Caenorhabditis elegans: one gene and its partner. The protein of the gene in region 1 interacts with the protein of each later gene in a biochemical or structural test. Each region holds a gene or a part of one and is shown in the gene's direction. Other genes may lie near its edges.

The links.
Region 2: of the proteins of smg-1 (region 1) and smg-2, one has a biochemical effect on the other in vitro, tested with the Caenorhabditis elegans proteins (one study listed by BioGRID).

What each region holds. Positions count from the first base shown.
Region 1 is NC_003279.8:6,907,042-6,915,245, reverse strand, and holds the start of smg-1 (Serine/threonine-protein kinase smg-1), read left to right. Parts: upstream 1-1,694; coding exon 1,695-1,739; intron 1,740-1,786; coding exon 1,787-1,873; intron 1,874-1,927; coding exon 1,928-2,073; intron 2,074-2,119; coding exon 2,120-2,396; intron 2,397-2,439; coding exon 2,440-2,706; intron 2,707-2,991; coding exon 2,992-3,216; intron 3,217-3,606; coding exon 3,607-3,719; intron 3,720-3,798; coding exon 3,799-3,908; intron 3,909-3,955; coding exon 3,956-4,086; intron 4,087-4,155; coding exon 4,156-4,286; intron 4,287-4,330; coding exon 4,331-4,486; intron 4,487-4,544; coding exon 4,545-4,688; intron 4,689-5,176; coding exon 5,177-5,329; intron 5,330-6,024; coding exon 6,025-6,159; intron 6,160-6,198; coding exon 6,199-6,407; intron 6,408-6,481; coding exon 6,482-6,705; intron 6,706-6,746; coding exon 6,747-6,854; intron 6,855-6,935; coding exon 6,936-7,165; intron 7,166-7,215; coding exon 7,216-7,303; intron 7,304-7,350; coding exon 7,351-7,460; and 5 more. Other genes in the region: haps-1 (Essential protein Yae1 N-terminal domain-containing protein), read right to left, coding at 1-187.
Region 2 is NC_003279.8:1,172,584-1,180,903, forward strand, and holds the start of smg-2 (Regulator of nonsense transcripts 1), read left to right. Parts: upstream 1-3,889; 5' UTR 3,890-3,891; coding exon 3,892-4,038; intron 4,039-5,294; coding exon 5,295-5,836; intron 5,837-6,419; coding exon 6,420-6,808; intron 6,809-7,663; coding exon 7,664-8,320. Other genes in the region: haf-6 (Mitochondrial potassium channel ATP-binding subunit), read right to left, coding at 1,225-1,512, 2,801-3,044, 3,106-3,170. UniProt on the Caenorhabditis elegans protein: RNA-dependent helicase required for nonsense-mediated decay (NMD) of aberrant mRNAs containing premature stop codons and modulates the expression level of normal mRNAs.

The sequences.
Region 1 (8,204 bases):
GCGTGGTTCCCTCTGCAGCGCCTCTGAAATTTCTCCAAGAGGAGTCCGAATAGAGACGAGCCACAGCTTGAGCACATCCTTCAAAGTCATTCCACAGCTTATCGTTTTCCGTCAGATCCTCAGTACAATCACAACGACGGTGGGCACCGCCAGTTCTCGAAGAACAGCTCGAGTGATGATTCGACATATTATGCGAACTGAAAACATTAACATAATTTTTTATTAAAAGAAAGAACTGTCGGAAATCAAGTTCGAGAATATTAGAAAAAAAACGGGGAATTTTAAATGTTATAATTAATGTTTTCAACAAAGATTAGGCAATCGCGTGAGCAAGGTTTCATTCAACAAAACGAATATCGATTAGCTACACAATCTCATCAGTCTTTCAATTGCATGGGAGTTATGCTCCCCGAGCAAGTTCTAAGCGACTAATTTATCGATTTCTGGGTGAACATCAGCATCAGATGACGAAATAATTACAGAATAAAGATAGTTAGATGGAGAGAGTGAGAAAGATTGGAAAACGATTGGGTGCGTCCGGTCAAGAAATTGAGAGGAGAAGTTATCTTAAAGATGAAATGAAAAGATAGAAATGAAGGATTTATTGGTAAATTTGCAAGATTTGAGGTAAAAAATGAGTTATGGAAAATTTAAAACCAATTTTTCAAGGATGAGCAGTTGAAATATGAATGACTCATTACGAATACACTAGAGAAAAAGCTAATCGGGGAAATAAATGGCTGGGAAATTAATAATGTTTAAAAAACAGCTCTTGTAAAACTATTTTGTATTCAGAGTATGAAAGCAGGGCATAAAAGATAACTAAAAACATGAACGATTGGCGTCGAATCATTGCGAAAAACGTGGGTATACAGAGGCCGTTATTCGAGGTTTTCAGAATTATCAATTGAGATTCAATTGCATGTTTTCATAAAAACCGACAGGAATAAGCCATTTCTTCCGATTTTTTTTTCGAAATTTTGCGAAAATCGATGGGGAAACAATGAAAAAAGTGTCTGAAACGGGCAGAAAATGAGGAAAAGAGAGTAAAGAGAGAGAGCGGCCGAAACAAAACATTCGATTAGCAATGGAGCATGTTTGCTGACTCATGTGTCGACAGTTTAAATGCTTTTTGATCATCTGTTTATGAAGTTTTTCAACATTTTTATTGATTTTCAGAACTGGAGATTTTATTGCTATTTTTTAAGAACATAAAATCTAATTTTTTAGTGTGAGAAAGTTCTTTTAAAAGTATTAAAACAAAAGAAAAGCAACACGAGTACTGTATTAAAGGCGCATACCAAAAATCATGAGTCCGGTCTCACGAAGCGTTTGCACCACAATTAAAAGTGCCATTATCGATAGTTATCTTCTCAAATTAAAATTTGTTTCGTCTTTCCGGGTGCAAATCTATTTAAGCTTGAATTTTCATTAAATCACAATGTTTTATTTGCTTAAAACATTTTAACGTGACATTTTCATTTTCAAAGCTAAGTTTCCTTTTTTATTTATTTCTGACACGTGACGATGCTAGTCCGGCCGAGAAAAATGTTTAAAATCCTTAAACGGCCCGACACATTAAGGTATTTTGTTCTCGTTTATTCAATTTTCCCGATATTTGTATTCGTTTCTCAGGCTTTTTTCCTGTTTCAACTTTTATTTTCAGCCTATGCAACCTTCCGTGCGATCAAAAAATGATAACATCGAGAAACAATGATATTGGGAACCTGATAGAACAGGTAAATGTGATAAACGGAGAAAAGTATTTATTGTTAATCAAATTAAGTTTCGTCAACGTGACACGCCACAGAAGGAACGGAAAGCGATTCTCGCTAGAATCGAGGAGATTCTTCAAACTACGAAAAATGTAGAGGTTTGTTTTCCCTTCGGAAGCATTACGGAAAACCAAGAAATTATTATTTTACAGAGTCTTTGTGTAAAATGGACTTATCTTTTGGATAACTTGTGTTGGCCTAGTCTCACAAAACACGATCGGAATGACATGAAAACGCTGGCTGGAAAAGTGATACGACTTGTTGGAGTTTTACTCTTTGATACTGAATCCTATCCAGAGTTTGTGAATTTTGCCATTTGAAGATATAAAATAAAAATTTTTCAGGTTTCTGATTTATCTTGGAACATTATATCAAAGTGTTACGAAGAAAAGTGAAGAAACACGTGCGGATATCGTGTTTTCAGTGTATTTCATCGTTGGAGTCATCAGTCAAAAAACGGAGAATCGTCTAATTGCTACCGACACTGAAAATGTCGAAAAATCATTAGACTGGATAATCAAAGTGCTTCCGAATTCATCAATATCAGTTTATAACCACTGTTTGAAAGGATTTGTACTTGTTGCAAACACATTTCCAAATGTTTATGCTGCAATGTTTGAGGTATTTTATTTGAAAAATAATAAAAAAATTTCGCTTTTTCCAGTCAACCCTCCGAGCAATTCTGACCAACCTTCCCGATTTCAACAGTCATGAAAAGAATTTTGAGCTTCTCATTGATACAGTGATGCGATTTTCTGATCAACTTAATGAGAAGCCTCATTTGGCAGAAGAAATGGTTCGAATTATTCGACCGGATATCAAAAAGAATGGATTGGGAAATATGAGAGAATTGAAGAAACGAATGAAACTGACAATGGCACTCGTGAAAATGGCGAAAAGTCAAAAAATGCTTGAGGAGACTAATCAGATGGTGAGAATATGATGAGGGAACACATTATTTGCTGAAATATCTGAAAATTTCAAAAATAAATTATCTAAAAAAGCTTTAGAAAGGCAAATTCTCAAAAAGTTGAAATATTTATTTTGTTATTTGTGAATAATAAGTTCCAAGGACTTAATTTTGTTCTTTAAAGTGTGATATTGATTTTATTCAATTCATCTTTATTTTAAAATTCAAGTTCGTGGACCAAAAACAGATTTTCCCAACAAAAAGTTAACAAACTGCTTATTATTCTTTTTATTCAATAAATTTCAGATTTCTGAAATGTCTATCGAACTCGAGGAAAACGGAGGAAAATGGTCATCAGCTTCACTTATAACTATCGTTTGTGATGTTTTCAATGAGCTCTTGATATTGGGAAAAGATGATGTAAAATTGCAAAAAGGAGTTGAAGAATCATTGTGCAATGTTCTGAAAGACTTGAATCTTTCTAATCAGAGTACTATGGAGAAACAAGCATTTTTCAATTCTCTTGCAAAGGTTTGGTTTTTTGCCACAAAAATATCCGAAATTAGAGTATTACCCGAAATTTGGCGCTGAAACTAAAACTACGGTACTTGGTCTCGACACGACAACTTTTTGCTAAATGCGAAACGGTGTGCGCCTATTATTACTGTACTTTTAAACCCTTGTTGCTGCGGAATATTGCTATTTTTAAACGTTTTTTTCACGATTTATTAAAATTTATTTGAAAAACTATGATAAAACTTTGATGCACTGAACGAGAATTTGAAACTACTGTAACCTGTAAAGGTGTACATCATTCTGCATTTCCCAAAAATGTTTCGTGTCGAGCGTAGGTGCTGTATTGTTGGCGCAAAATGTTGCGTCTGGGTAATACAAGCTGCTGGTGTATGTAATTGATTTCAGATTGTCAAACAACTTCCAGCAGAGTCACAAGTCAAAACTAGAGTTCATCAGATTGTTTTCAACACGGAAACTGGACTTTTCACACCCAAAAACCGCGATAATCGAATGTTTGGGTGAGAAAAAGTTTTTAAGTCGATGCTCTATCGTATCGGGGAGTACGATGTTTTTCAAAATCAATTTTTATAATTTCAGACATAATATGATATACAAGGATCTTATCAATCTTGTCTCTGTGCTTCTTACGCCTACATCACTCAATCATCTACAAGCGACATATACGGATTTGAGGAAAATAATGATAGGTTAACTTTAATTAAATCTGTGAATTCAATTGATTAATTATTTCCAGATAGCATGTCACGATTGAAGCAAAGTGAAGATACTCCGTATAGTGATAATATTCGATGGAATGAATCAATCCTTTTGCTTTTCTTTTCGTCACTTCAAAGTATATCATGTGCCAAGAGTTCTCTTATTGTGGTTTGTTTAAAAATAACAATTATTTTCGCAGAAAACAACGATTTTTAACAATTAAAGAACAAATTTTAGATGATGGGAATCCGTCCGTCAATTTTTGAATTCTTCTCATCGGAACTTCCACTCACAGAATATTGGCTTGCTTCAAATCATCCAGAAGTCTATCACCTATTTATCACAATATTTGTTGGACATTTGAAAGCGTGAGTATGACAGAATAAATACTTTAATAAATCAATTCTTTCAGTCACGACTTCTACATTGTTCAATCTGATTATATTGTTCGTGGTGATAGCATTGGACAAAGTATAGGACAAACGAAACGAGATTATGCACGGAAACAAGTTGTTGCTCTACAGAAAATTATCAACAATTTTGGAGACAAATTGTGGAAGAAGACTAGGTTTATTCTTGAGCATTCATTATATTTTATTTTCAATTTTTAATAAATTGTGATTCAGACTGATGATATCTTCATGGCTTCACTCTCTCATTGCAACTGCTTGTGAACATCAAATCGGAAGTGATAGTTTCAGTCAACGAGAATGGGTTCGATTAAGGAATACTGTCATTCATCAGTCGGTGCTCACATGGAATAATGAATGGTATACACTTGAATTGCTTGAATTTCTAGCAGTTTTCACATTTTCTCAATCATTTGTACCAAGCAACACTTGCTGGAAAATCAAAAAAAAATCAATTTTTAAAATATCCCGCTACGCGCCCAACATTGAAATATATAATTCCTGGGACTTCTTTTTGGAATTTTAATTAAAAATAATTATATTCCGTATTTTGATAATTTAAAATTCTTTCACTTATTTTTGAGAAGTTTGCATGTTGGATATCAACATACTAAATAGTTTTCTGGGAAGTGGCCAGGTTTTTCGGTTGTAGGAAAGACTTGTATTATATTGTTCATTGAAAACAAGTATATCAATAGTATTCTTTTCTGAATTGGCACTTATAAAAGTGAAATCGAGATGCTGAAAACTAGTTTCTTCTGTCAGTTTCAGTTTAGATTGATTATAGTTCTTTTCTCTCTATTCTCCTCATATTTTCTAAAAATTTGAACTAAGTTATATATTTTCAGTGTAAATCAAGCATTGACCATCCTCTCCACTGCTACAAAATGGTCAGAACTGACGTCAGACATCCATCGAGATATTGCGGATAAAACGAAAAAAGCAAAGTGGAAGGAGGCAACGACAATTTGGGAATCTGGAGATTGTAATACTTATATCAGGTATTGAAAAGAACTCTTTAAAATTATTTCAAGCTTTTCGATTTTATTCCACTATTTGATTCAAAAAAATGTTTGCACTCAATATGTTTCAAAGAGTGTTTATGTATTTATGACTATCGAAAAAAAAAAGAACTGAATGACGGATAATCGGTGTCTACATTCAGGCGGCGGTCACGTATACTCTAAACAATTTTGAATTATTTTTGACATTCTTTGTGAAGTTTTAAACCTGTAATTAGCTAAATCGAAATGATGAAAGACGGAAAACGCAAGATTTTATTTGAAAACTTTGTATAAAACTGGTATCTTTCACCCTCAAATCTGGTTATTTCAGTTTAAAAACTAGAGAGCATTAGCTCATTGAGCTCTGGTTCTTGTTTATTTATTTACTCGAATGAATAAAACAAGCGACTTTTATTGTTTTCATGCCTACTTGCACCTGCGTCTAACTAACTAACTATTAGGCGAGAGTTTCTGCATGAATTACACACTGGAAATTTGCCCAAAACAAACGTCACTCTACTTGACAGTCTATAGCTTGTTTTCATCGCCTGGAGGTGGAGTAGCGTGAATACGGATTTGCTTTAAAATATTTGAAACAGACTGAAATTCATAAGTACCAGACAAAAAACGAAAAAAAAAGTATTTCTTGTTTTTTATACAACTTCGTAAAAGTAAAATGATTTATTTTCCAGGCAATCCATGTCTACAGTCTATCAAATGTCACAGGAACGACAACAGAAGACAATTACATCGACAAGTTTTGGAGCCGAAGAGTTTATAATAATTACGAATTTCTTGTTGAAACAGGCAACACCAACTACTTTCAAGTGAGTTCATAATTAAAACCTTTCTACGTATAAATTGAGTTCCAGAAAAGGTCAAAACTCATGGATGGATGAAGTACTGGAAACATTCACACAAGGATGTCGTACGCTTGAAAAACCCGATTCATACGTTCCAGAGACATTTATCGAAAAATGGGATTGGATTATTAATCAGACTGCAAACTTTTGCATTGTGAATAAAATGAAGACACCATTAGGAAAACCAATGCAGACTTTTGCAGCTTTTGAGAGTAGGTTAACAACTAGATTTCAAATTTTATGAGTAGAAATTAGCTGTAGTTAAATAATTATTCATTAATTGCAGATGAAATTAAACGACTTGCGAAAGAAGTGATTGTTCGAAAGAATAGTGATAAGAAGTTGAATAAATCATCTACAGAAGATCCAAATCAATCTCCACCACTCAAATATTCCGTTCAATGGCTTCGTGTTCATTTACTTCTAAAATTGATTGTAGTTTTGGAAAAACTTATGAACTCAGCCATTCATGGTGGTTCTTCCGTTTTCAATTTGACTGAAATTCCAGTGGTATGCTTAATTTTTTTGTCTAGAAATATCGTATATTTCAGTCCTCTCGCCAATTTTTCACAGTGAACGCAGCAAGTTGTGAGGTTTGGCTGAATCGAGTATACTATCCTGCTCTTCTTGTCGCATATTTCAATGGATATTATGGACTTGTAAATGATCTTAAAATTCTTATATTTTGTTACTGATTTTGTTATAGTTTCAAACGTAAGCCTAAATGTCATAAATTTCAGGTTATTCGATTTGGTTCAAATGCTCTTAGCCATTTCGCGAGACAAAAAGACGGAGATAATGATAAAAAGATCGTGAATGGCGTTTGTACAGCAAGTTTAATGTCACTTTCAATGGCAGTTCTCGGTGAACCAATGGAAATTGTTGGATTACGGAGAAAAGTTCGAGAAGAATTCGGAACTGACATGGGACAATCATTGATGGAGGCACTCGGAGAAATGGCTAATGCTAGGTGAGTGATTATGCAGAAATATATATTTTTATAATTATTATAATATTAAGATATGAGACAGCTCTGGTTGCCTTGGAAGCAGTTCTTGTGACAGATGCAGCAACAAATGAAACATTGAAAATGATCATTCAACTAGCAGTATGTGCTAATCAATACAATCATTTTAATTTTTTTCAAAATTTCAGATGGTTGACATTTTGAACCGCATACGCCTCCCACAGGCTACCGATTATTATAAGGTTGTCTTATTTGGTGAAGAATCAAATGATTCCACAATTACTGAAGACTTTCGATCGTAAGATTTTATGAAATTTCGATTTGTGCTCACAGAGAAATTATAATTGAAATAATAATTATTACATTTTAGAGTTGAGTTACTCACGAAATTCGAGAAGCTCAACAATACAGTGAACGAAAAGCGTCAAGTTGTTGATTGGAGTGCTCGAGAACGTTTCCAATTTGTTGAATCCGCATTTTCACAGACTATGAGAAGGCGAGTGTCTAGGGTGTCGGTTTTCCAATATTTCGAAGAAAAAACATCGATTTTTCGAGAAATAGCTTGAAGTTTTAGCCATATATTTTTTCTCGAAATATTATACGAAAATTACTTACGGATAAACTAACTTTTGCACTCTAAACTTCTATTTTCCATAAAATTTTAAAAATTAAAAAGGATAACTAAATGAGCAACTTTTTCAGAACCGAACTTCTCGACATTCAAAAAGATTTTTCCGCGATGGGAGCACTTGCATTGAGTGCTGATTCATCGTGTAAATTGTATTCGGACATTTCATCAACATCTCTCATAATTGCAAATCTTGTCAATAAAATGACTGGTGTCTCACAATGGAAGAATAAACTCACTGATACGGAAATATTCGATAGAAATGAAGAAGGAAATGATGGTGATAAGTTGGCAATATGTCGAAAGTTAATGCATTGGGGACGACACACAAAGAGTAATCGTACGTTTTTCAATTTATGAGAAGAGAAATTAAGTAAAATCATGTTTGGTTATAATTTTCAAAAAATAAAAATA
Region 2 (8,320 bases), 5.7 Mb from region 1:
CGCGCTCCAATGCGAATTTCTTTGGGCGCGAATTTGAAAAAAGTGATGCCGGAACAAGCGATTTCAAGCGTGCATATAAAATCAGGGAAATTTTTTTTTGATTTTTTCACATAGATATTCGGAATTAGGGGAAAATTTGGAGTCAGTTAAAAATATTTAATAGATTTCGGTACTCCACCTTTAAAAATGATTATGAAAGCTATAAAACTGTACAAAAAGTTAATAATTTTTTTTCTGAAGCTCTTTAAAAATTTTCAAAAAAAATTAAATTTTCAAAAGAAAATTTTCAAAAGAAATTTTTCTATTTTTCTAAAAAAAAAATTTTTGTAAAGTTTTTTCACAAATTAAATTTTTTTTTTCTGTAACTCAATTTGTTTAAAAATATTTGAAAAATAAAAATAGTGGAAACAAGAAAACTATGCAGAAAAATTAAATTTAAAGTTTTTTTCAGAATTTTTTAGAGTAAATTTTTTAAATTTTGATTTTATTTTTGAAAATTAGAGAAAATTAAACACGAAAAATAGAAAATTTTAGAGTTTTCCCTAATTAATTTTTCAAAAAGTTAACGCAGAAAAATACTGAAAATTAATCAAAAACTAAAACAAATAATTGAAAAAAAAATTTTTTTTGGGACAATTTTTTTTTCAGACATTACACGGATTTCTGGGTTCCGACAATTCCTTATAAATACAGAAAGATGTGCGCCTTTAAAGGTTACTGTAGTTGTAAAAATTATTTTTTTCCCACGATTTCGGGAAAAAAATTCGCAGAAAGGAAAAGCTCGAAAATACAGTAGTACCCTCTTTAAAGGCGCAGATTGATTTATACCGAAAAATTGTCGTGTCGAGACCCTGTATTTTTGTTCTAAAAAAGTTAAAATTGAAAAAAAGGAAATCCTGTTTTTTTATCTGAAAACTGCCAAAAAAATCAAATTCAAAAATCAAACATTTTAGAGTTTTCCCTAATTAATTTTTCAAAAAGTTAAAGCAGAAAAATACTGAAAATTAATCAAAAACTAAAACAAATATTTGAAAAAAAAAAATTTTTTGGGACAATTTTTTTTTCGGGGATCAGGGGAAATTTTGGAGTCAATCCATCTTTAAATTGCAAAAAATTAAAAATGTCGAGTTTTCAAAAAGATTTTTTTTACTGAAAAAAACCGAAAAAATCGGAATTTAAAAAACTAGGCCACCAAAATTTCACCGCGGCCACCCACGCTCTTACATGAGAATCAAAAAATGCCATATCATGGTGCAATAGCTTCTGAAACAAGTCCGACCGCATTTTCGTCGCCATTCGTTCTCCGAGAACCGTTAAAAATGTGATATAAAGAAATGTGAGAGCAGATTGTGCAACATATAGTGTCATTAAGTGCAGAGCAGATGGCTTGAGCTGTTCAAAATGAGATCGTAAATTGTTCGACTCGTCCTTGATGATTTTCACGATTCCGTTCACCAAATCGCCCAGGCATAGTGGAATTTGAATGTTGATGTAGGCTGAGAGGATGGCGCACTGCAAAAAAAACTGATAATTTTTCTCAATTTTTTAAGGAAAAATTGACTAAAATTAAAATTTTTTTGTTTTTAAAATTTTTTCTGGTGAAATTCCGAAAAAATTACAAGATTTTCGTACAATTTAATGTAGAAATTAAAATTTTTAGCCCCCCAAAATAACTGAAAAACTTCAAATTCCGAGATTTAAAACAAAAATTTTGTAATTTTTTGTAATTTATCCGGACAAAACCGACTTTTAGCCAATTTTTTCTTTAAATGTGGACTCCACTCTGTGGGAAAATTGCTTTAAAACATGCCTATGAGGCCATAATGACCGAATATCATTAATTCGTATGAAATCAATGAAATTTCATAGTTAAATTGGAAAATGGCAACATTTTTGCTTAAAATTTGTAAAAAATCATGTTTTTTGGGCATTTTTGGTGATTTTCTTTCGATTTTTATGATATTTCGGCGGTTTTCACCCAATTTCATTAGAAAAAATTGAAAAAATCTCAGTTTTTGCCTAATTCCTAATTGAATTTCCGCCAATTGGATTCGTTCGTTGGAGCGCACTTGCATTATTTTCATTAATTTTTTAAAATTATTTTTTATTATTTCACTGATTTTCTTCATTATTTGTGCATTTTTATCGGAAAAAAGAACTGAAAAAGCAAGAAAAATACAAAATGTTTGTTAAAAAGTAACTGAAAATGCGTAAAACTGTGATTTTTTGAGTTCTGAGGACGACGAGCCTGAAATTTGTATTATTCATGGAGTTTTAGGTATTTTTAGTCACTTTTTCATAAACATTTTGCATTTTTCTTGTTTATTTCGTTCATATTCCGATCAAAAACCCCTAAAAATGAAGAAAATCAATGAAATAATGATAAAAAAAATAATGCAAGCGCGCTCCACCGAACAAGTTCAATTGGCGGAAATTCAAATAGGAATTAGGGGAAAACTGAGATTTTTTCAATTTTTTCTAATGAAATTGGGTAAAAACCGCCGAAAAATCATAAAAATCGAAAGAAAATCACCAAAAATGCCCAAAAAACATGATTTTTTACAAATTTTAAGCAAAAATGTTGCCATTTTCCAATTTAACTATGAAATTTCATTGATTTCATACGAATTAATGCGGAAATTAAAGTTTTTTTGCTGGAAAATTGACAGGAAACCTGAAATAAAATTAAAAAGCAAGATTTTAGGTGAAAATTGCACAATTTTTTGTAAGTTAACTATAAAAATACGTATTTTTCTCGATTTTTCCCAGTTTTCAACCGGATTTTTATCGAAAAATTCACCACAACTGCAGCGAAAAACCAGCCGAAAAAGGGTTTAATCAAATTCCACAGCTCTCCGGCCGTCATTGACGCATTCTGATCCTCCGTCGTCCTCAAATGGTCGATGCGTTTGCTCAATTTCGGAGCACATGCCGCTTTTCGTAGGGTTACAGCTCCTAAACCGGCTCCAAACCCACAAATTCGCCATGTTTTGAGTATTGTTGTCCTTGAAATCGGTTTGTGAAGCCATGGATAGCTGGAAAAGCTGCAAAAAACGGGAAAATATATGGAAAAATGGAAAATCAGCAGATTTTTGCAGATCTTACCAGTGTTTGCTGCTTTGCACGGCGCTTTTGATGGATATTTGGGATAGTTTAGATAGAATTGACATTAAAAACCAGGAAAAATCAATACAAATCAATAAAAATCAGTTCTTATCAGCGATTTTTTCCGATTTTCCAAGAAAAATAATAATCGAGAAAACATAAACTCCGTGCGGCACACTTGCAAAAACCGTGCGCCCACCTTGCAATGAGGTGTTTTTATCATATTTTTTCATTTTTCGACCGTTTTTCGCAATTTTTTCTAACAAAACCTCATTTTTTGTATGAAAATGTTGAAAAAATATGCATTTTCATGGTTAAATTGTTAAAAATCACACAATTTTCGCTTAAAATCATCTAAAATGATGAAATATTGCTCATTTTAAAAGTTGGGGGGATTTTTCAGTTTGTTTTTCAAATTTGAGCTCAAATTTTAGGCATTTTTACCTTTTTCCGATAAAAAGTGAGCGGAAATTGAAAATTTTCAATTTTAATTGTTGAAATTTCCAAAAATGCACCCGCTTTGTGATTAAATTAACACAGTTCTCATTTTCGAAGGTTTTCCGCCAATTTTCGGCAAAAATGTTGAATTTTTACATGAAAAATCTGCAAAAATAAGTGTAAAAGTGGTAAAAAATTACGAAATATTGCTCATTGTTAGATTTTGCAATTTGAAAAATGCTTTTTTGTACTTTTTTCACCTATTTTACTCGAATACCGACAAATTTCTCATGAATGCTATCGATTTCTCATTCCAAAACCCCTCAAAAACGCACTTTTCTTCCAGTAATGGACGATTCGGACGACGAATATTCGAGAAGCCACGGGGAAACCCTCACATTTGTGGATCCCGAGGACGATGGAGTCTCTATTGGGAACACGCAGGACTCTCAGTTCGCCTATGAGCAGTTTAGTGTGCCTACGCAGAGTTCTCAGGTAGAAAATTGCCGCATTTGTGTCAAAAAATCGAAGGAAAATTCTGGATTTTGCTGAAAAATCAAGTTTTTCACATGATTTTTCAGAGAAATTTGTATTCAAAATCCTTTGAATTGATAGACTTTACACACTGAAAAAAACGATGAAAATCATGAAAAAAAAACCACTCGAAAATGGACAAAACCGATGGAATTTGTGATTTTTATTTTCAATTTTTGTTCGAAAATGAGTATAATCCCGTCAATTTGCAATTTTCAGATGCTTTTTTGCCCACTTTGCCCAATCAATTTTTCGTGCAAATTTCAAGAAAAATCGATCCAAAAGCTCGAAAAAATTAGATTTTTGTGCAAAAATTGCAAAATTTTTTGAATTTGGCCATTTTCGATTAGTTTTTCTTGTAATTTTCAAGAAAACAAACCGTCCAATTTTTTTTGGAGATGTTTTGTGATATAAATTATCTTTTCCAACAATATCAACGATTTTCTAGAAGCTCAACGTTAAAAAAGGTTAGAAAATTAGATTATACTATTACGGGAACACAAAATTCTGAGAATGCGTATTGCACAACATATTTGACGCGCAAAATATCTCGTAGCGAAAACTACAGTAATTCTTTAAATGACTACTGTAGGTCGATTTACGGGCTCGATTTTCATTTTTCCTTCGCCAAAATCGAGATTCCGTAAATCGACACTACAGTAGTCATTTAAAGAATTACTGTAGTTTTCGCTACGAGATATTTTGCGCGTCAAATATGTTGTGTAATACGCATTCTTAGAATTTTGTGTTCCCGTAATAGTATAATCTAATTTTCTAACCTTTCTTAACGTTGAGCTTGCTCTGGAAAAGATAATTTATATCACCAAAAACTTGTTTTAAAAAGAATTTTTCTCATTCCTTACTGTCAGGAATCTTGGAAATTGTGATTTTTTTTTCCAATATTTTTGTTTATCGCAATTTTCAGATGATTTTTGAGCACTTTGCCCACAATTTTTCGTGCTAATTTCAAGAAAATCGACCCAAAAGCGTACAAAAAATTCCAAGAAAATTCCAAAGCAATTTTAAAAATTCGACTCTCAAAAAAAAACACCTATTCCAGGCGACAGATCTTAATTTTAAATAAATTTTTATTCAAAATCCTCTGAAAGTGGAAATTTCAGTGGAAAAAAACCAAGAAAATCATAGAAAAGTCCCTTAAAATCAATTTTTTTTGTCAATTTTTCAAAATTCTCAACAAAAAAAAACCCATATTCCAGGCGACAGATCTGCTGCCAGGAGGAACCGATGGAACCACCAACGATTTGCCATTTCACGACGTGGAAGACGACGAGTCGGACAGTGAAAAATCACTGACAGAAGAGCAGCAGCAGCAGAAGCTGCCGGAGCACGCGTGTCGCTATTGTGGAATCTCTGATCCTCTGTGTGTCGCCAAATGCACAGTCTGCAGGAAATGGTTCTGTAATTCCAATGATGGAACGTCGGGCGGGCATATTGTTCATCATATGGTTCGGAGTCAGCATAAGGAAGCCTACACGCATAAGGATTCACCGTGTGGTGACACTCAATTGGAATGCTATCGTTGTGGTTCGAAAAACGTGTTTAATCTCGGCTTCATCCCCGGAAAAAAGGATCAAGTCGTCGTGATAATCTGTAGAACACCGTGCGCCAGTATTGCATTCCAGAATGATGATAATTGGTCGCCCGAGGACTGGAAATCTGTAATCGCTGAAAAACAGCTGCTATCGTGGATTGTTAATGTGCCCAGCGAGGAGCAGGTGGCCAGAGCTAGGAAAATCACGTTAGTGGAGGAAAATCGATTTTTGAGAAAAATTTTAAAATAATAATTAAAGGAATTTCCAACCAAAAATGCAATTTCCGAGCGATCGAATTTTAACAATTTTTAACTAAATCTCGCCGTCCATCGACTTTAAAATACCTAAATCGAGTTGAAAACGCAAGATAATTAAATTGTATACTCAAAATTTGACGGTGGTTACAAAAAAAAAATAGTTTCCAGCCGCTTTACAAGTCGGTCAAATTTCAAATTTTAACTAATTTTAGGCCATTTTTTGAACCGTCATAACTTGTTTTTTGAGAAGTTTCACTATGAAATTCGGTGTTTTCTGAGTTGAATAAAGCAATTTTAAAAAATTCGACTACACCACCTTTAATATTTCTATAGCTTCGATTTTTTTGTTGATAAAAAATCTATTCCCAGTTTCCAAAAGAAATTGAAAATTGAATTTTTTTTCGAATTTTCGTGCAAAAAATTCTCAATTTCTACCGGCATTGGTGCAAAAAGCCGGAAAAACACAAGTGGTATAGTACTTTTAAATAGCTATATATATATATATATATATATGAAAAACTAAATTTTCCAGTGCTACCCAAGCAGTCCGAATGGAAGAGCTCTGGCGTGATCACCCAGAAGCAACCGTTGACGATTTAAATAAACCGGGACTCGATCGAGAACCGGATCATGTTCAATTAAGATATGTGGATGCTCATCACTATTCGAAAGTGTTCCGTCCATTAGTTGCAATTGAAGCAGAATATGATCGAAGAGTTAAAGAATCAGCATCACAAGCAGTCGGAACTGTTAGATGGGAACAAGGACTTCGTCAATCGGTTCTCGCGTTCTTTCATCTTCCACAATTTGCTGATGGTGTCATGAAGCTTGCGAAAGGCGATGAACTTCGATTGAAACATTCTCAGACGGTTGATGGATCGGAATGGACCAAGATTGGAAGTGTTTTCAAGATTCCTGATAGTAAGGGATGGGAAAAATAAAAATAAAAATTTTGAGTAGTTTTTCTTGGAATTTTCAAGAAATAACTGTCCAAAATTTTTTTTTTGGAGATTTTTCCTGATATAAATTGTATTTTCCAGTAATTTCAACGATTTTCCAGAAGCTGAAAAGGTTAGATATTTAGTTTATACTATTACGGGAACACAAAATTCTGAAAATGCGTATTACACAACATATTTGACGCGCAAAATATCTCGTAGCGAAAACTACAGTAATTCTTTAAATGACTACTGTAGGTCGATTTACGACGCGCTTGATTTTCATTTTCACACGAACGAAAAAGTGAAAATCGAGCCCGTAAATCGACGCTACAGTAGTCATTTAAAGAATTACTGTAGTTTTCGCTACGAGATATTTTGCGCGTCAAATATGTTGTGTAATACGCATTTTCAGAATTTTGTGTTCCCGTAATAGTATAAACTAAATTTCTAACCTTTTGAGCTTCTGGAAAATCGTTGAAATTATGGGAAAGTACAATTTACATCACCAAAAATCTGCAAAAAAAAAAATTTCGGTCGGTTTTTTCTTGAAAATTACAAGAAAAACTACTCGAAAATGACCAAAATCAATTTTTTTTTGAGCTTTTTTAACTTTAAATTCTTCGGAAAAATTTTTTTTCCCGCTTTTGGATCGATTTTTCTTGAAATTAGCACGAAAAATTGGGCAAAGAGCTCAAAAATCATCTGAAAATTGCAAATTTACAACAAAAAAATCACAAATTCCATCGTTTCTGGCCATTTTCGAGTGGTTTTTCTGTGAATTTCAAGAAAAATTGCACAAAAAGCTCCAAAAAATTTCACGTTTACAAATTTGCAGACCACGGCGACGAGGTAGGCATCGAAATCCGCGGAGCTGTCGACAAATCAGTGATGGAGAGTCGGATTATGTTCACCGTCGACGTCGTCTGGAACGCCACCACCTTCGAGCGACAGTACAAGGCTCTTGCGGCGCTGCTCAACGACTCCAAAGCAATATCTCCATATCTCTACCAGAAGCTTCTGGGTCATCCAGCCGAGGAAATGATGCTCAAGTTTGATCTACCGCGTCGGCTATCTGTCGCTGGACTCCCCGAGCTTAATAGCTCCCAGATGCAGGCAGTGAAGCAGGTGCTCACCCGACCTTTAAGCTTGATTCAAGGACCTCCGGGAACTGGAAAAACCGTAGTTTCGGCGACAATCGTCTATCATTTGGTGCAGAAAACCGAGGGAAACGTGCTCGTGTGCTCGCCGAGCAACATCGCCGTCGATCACTTGGCCGAGAAGATTCACAAGACGGGATTGAAGGTTGTGAGGCTTTGTGCGAGATCTCGAGAGCACAGTGAGACTACAGTACCCTACTTGACGCTTCAACATCAGCTAAAAGTGATGGGCGGTGCGGAGCTTCAGAAGCTGATTCAGTTGAAAGATGAAGCCGGGGAGCTCGAGTTTAAGGATGATTTGAGATATATGCAATTGAAAAGAGTCAAAGAGCATG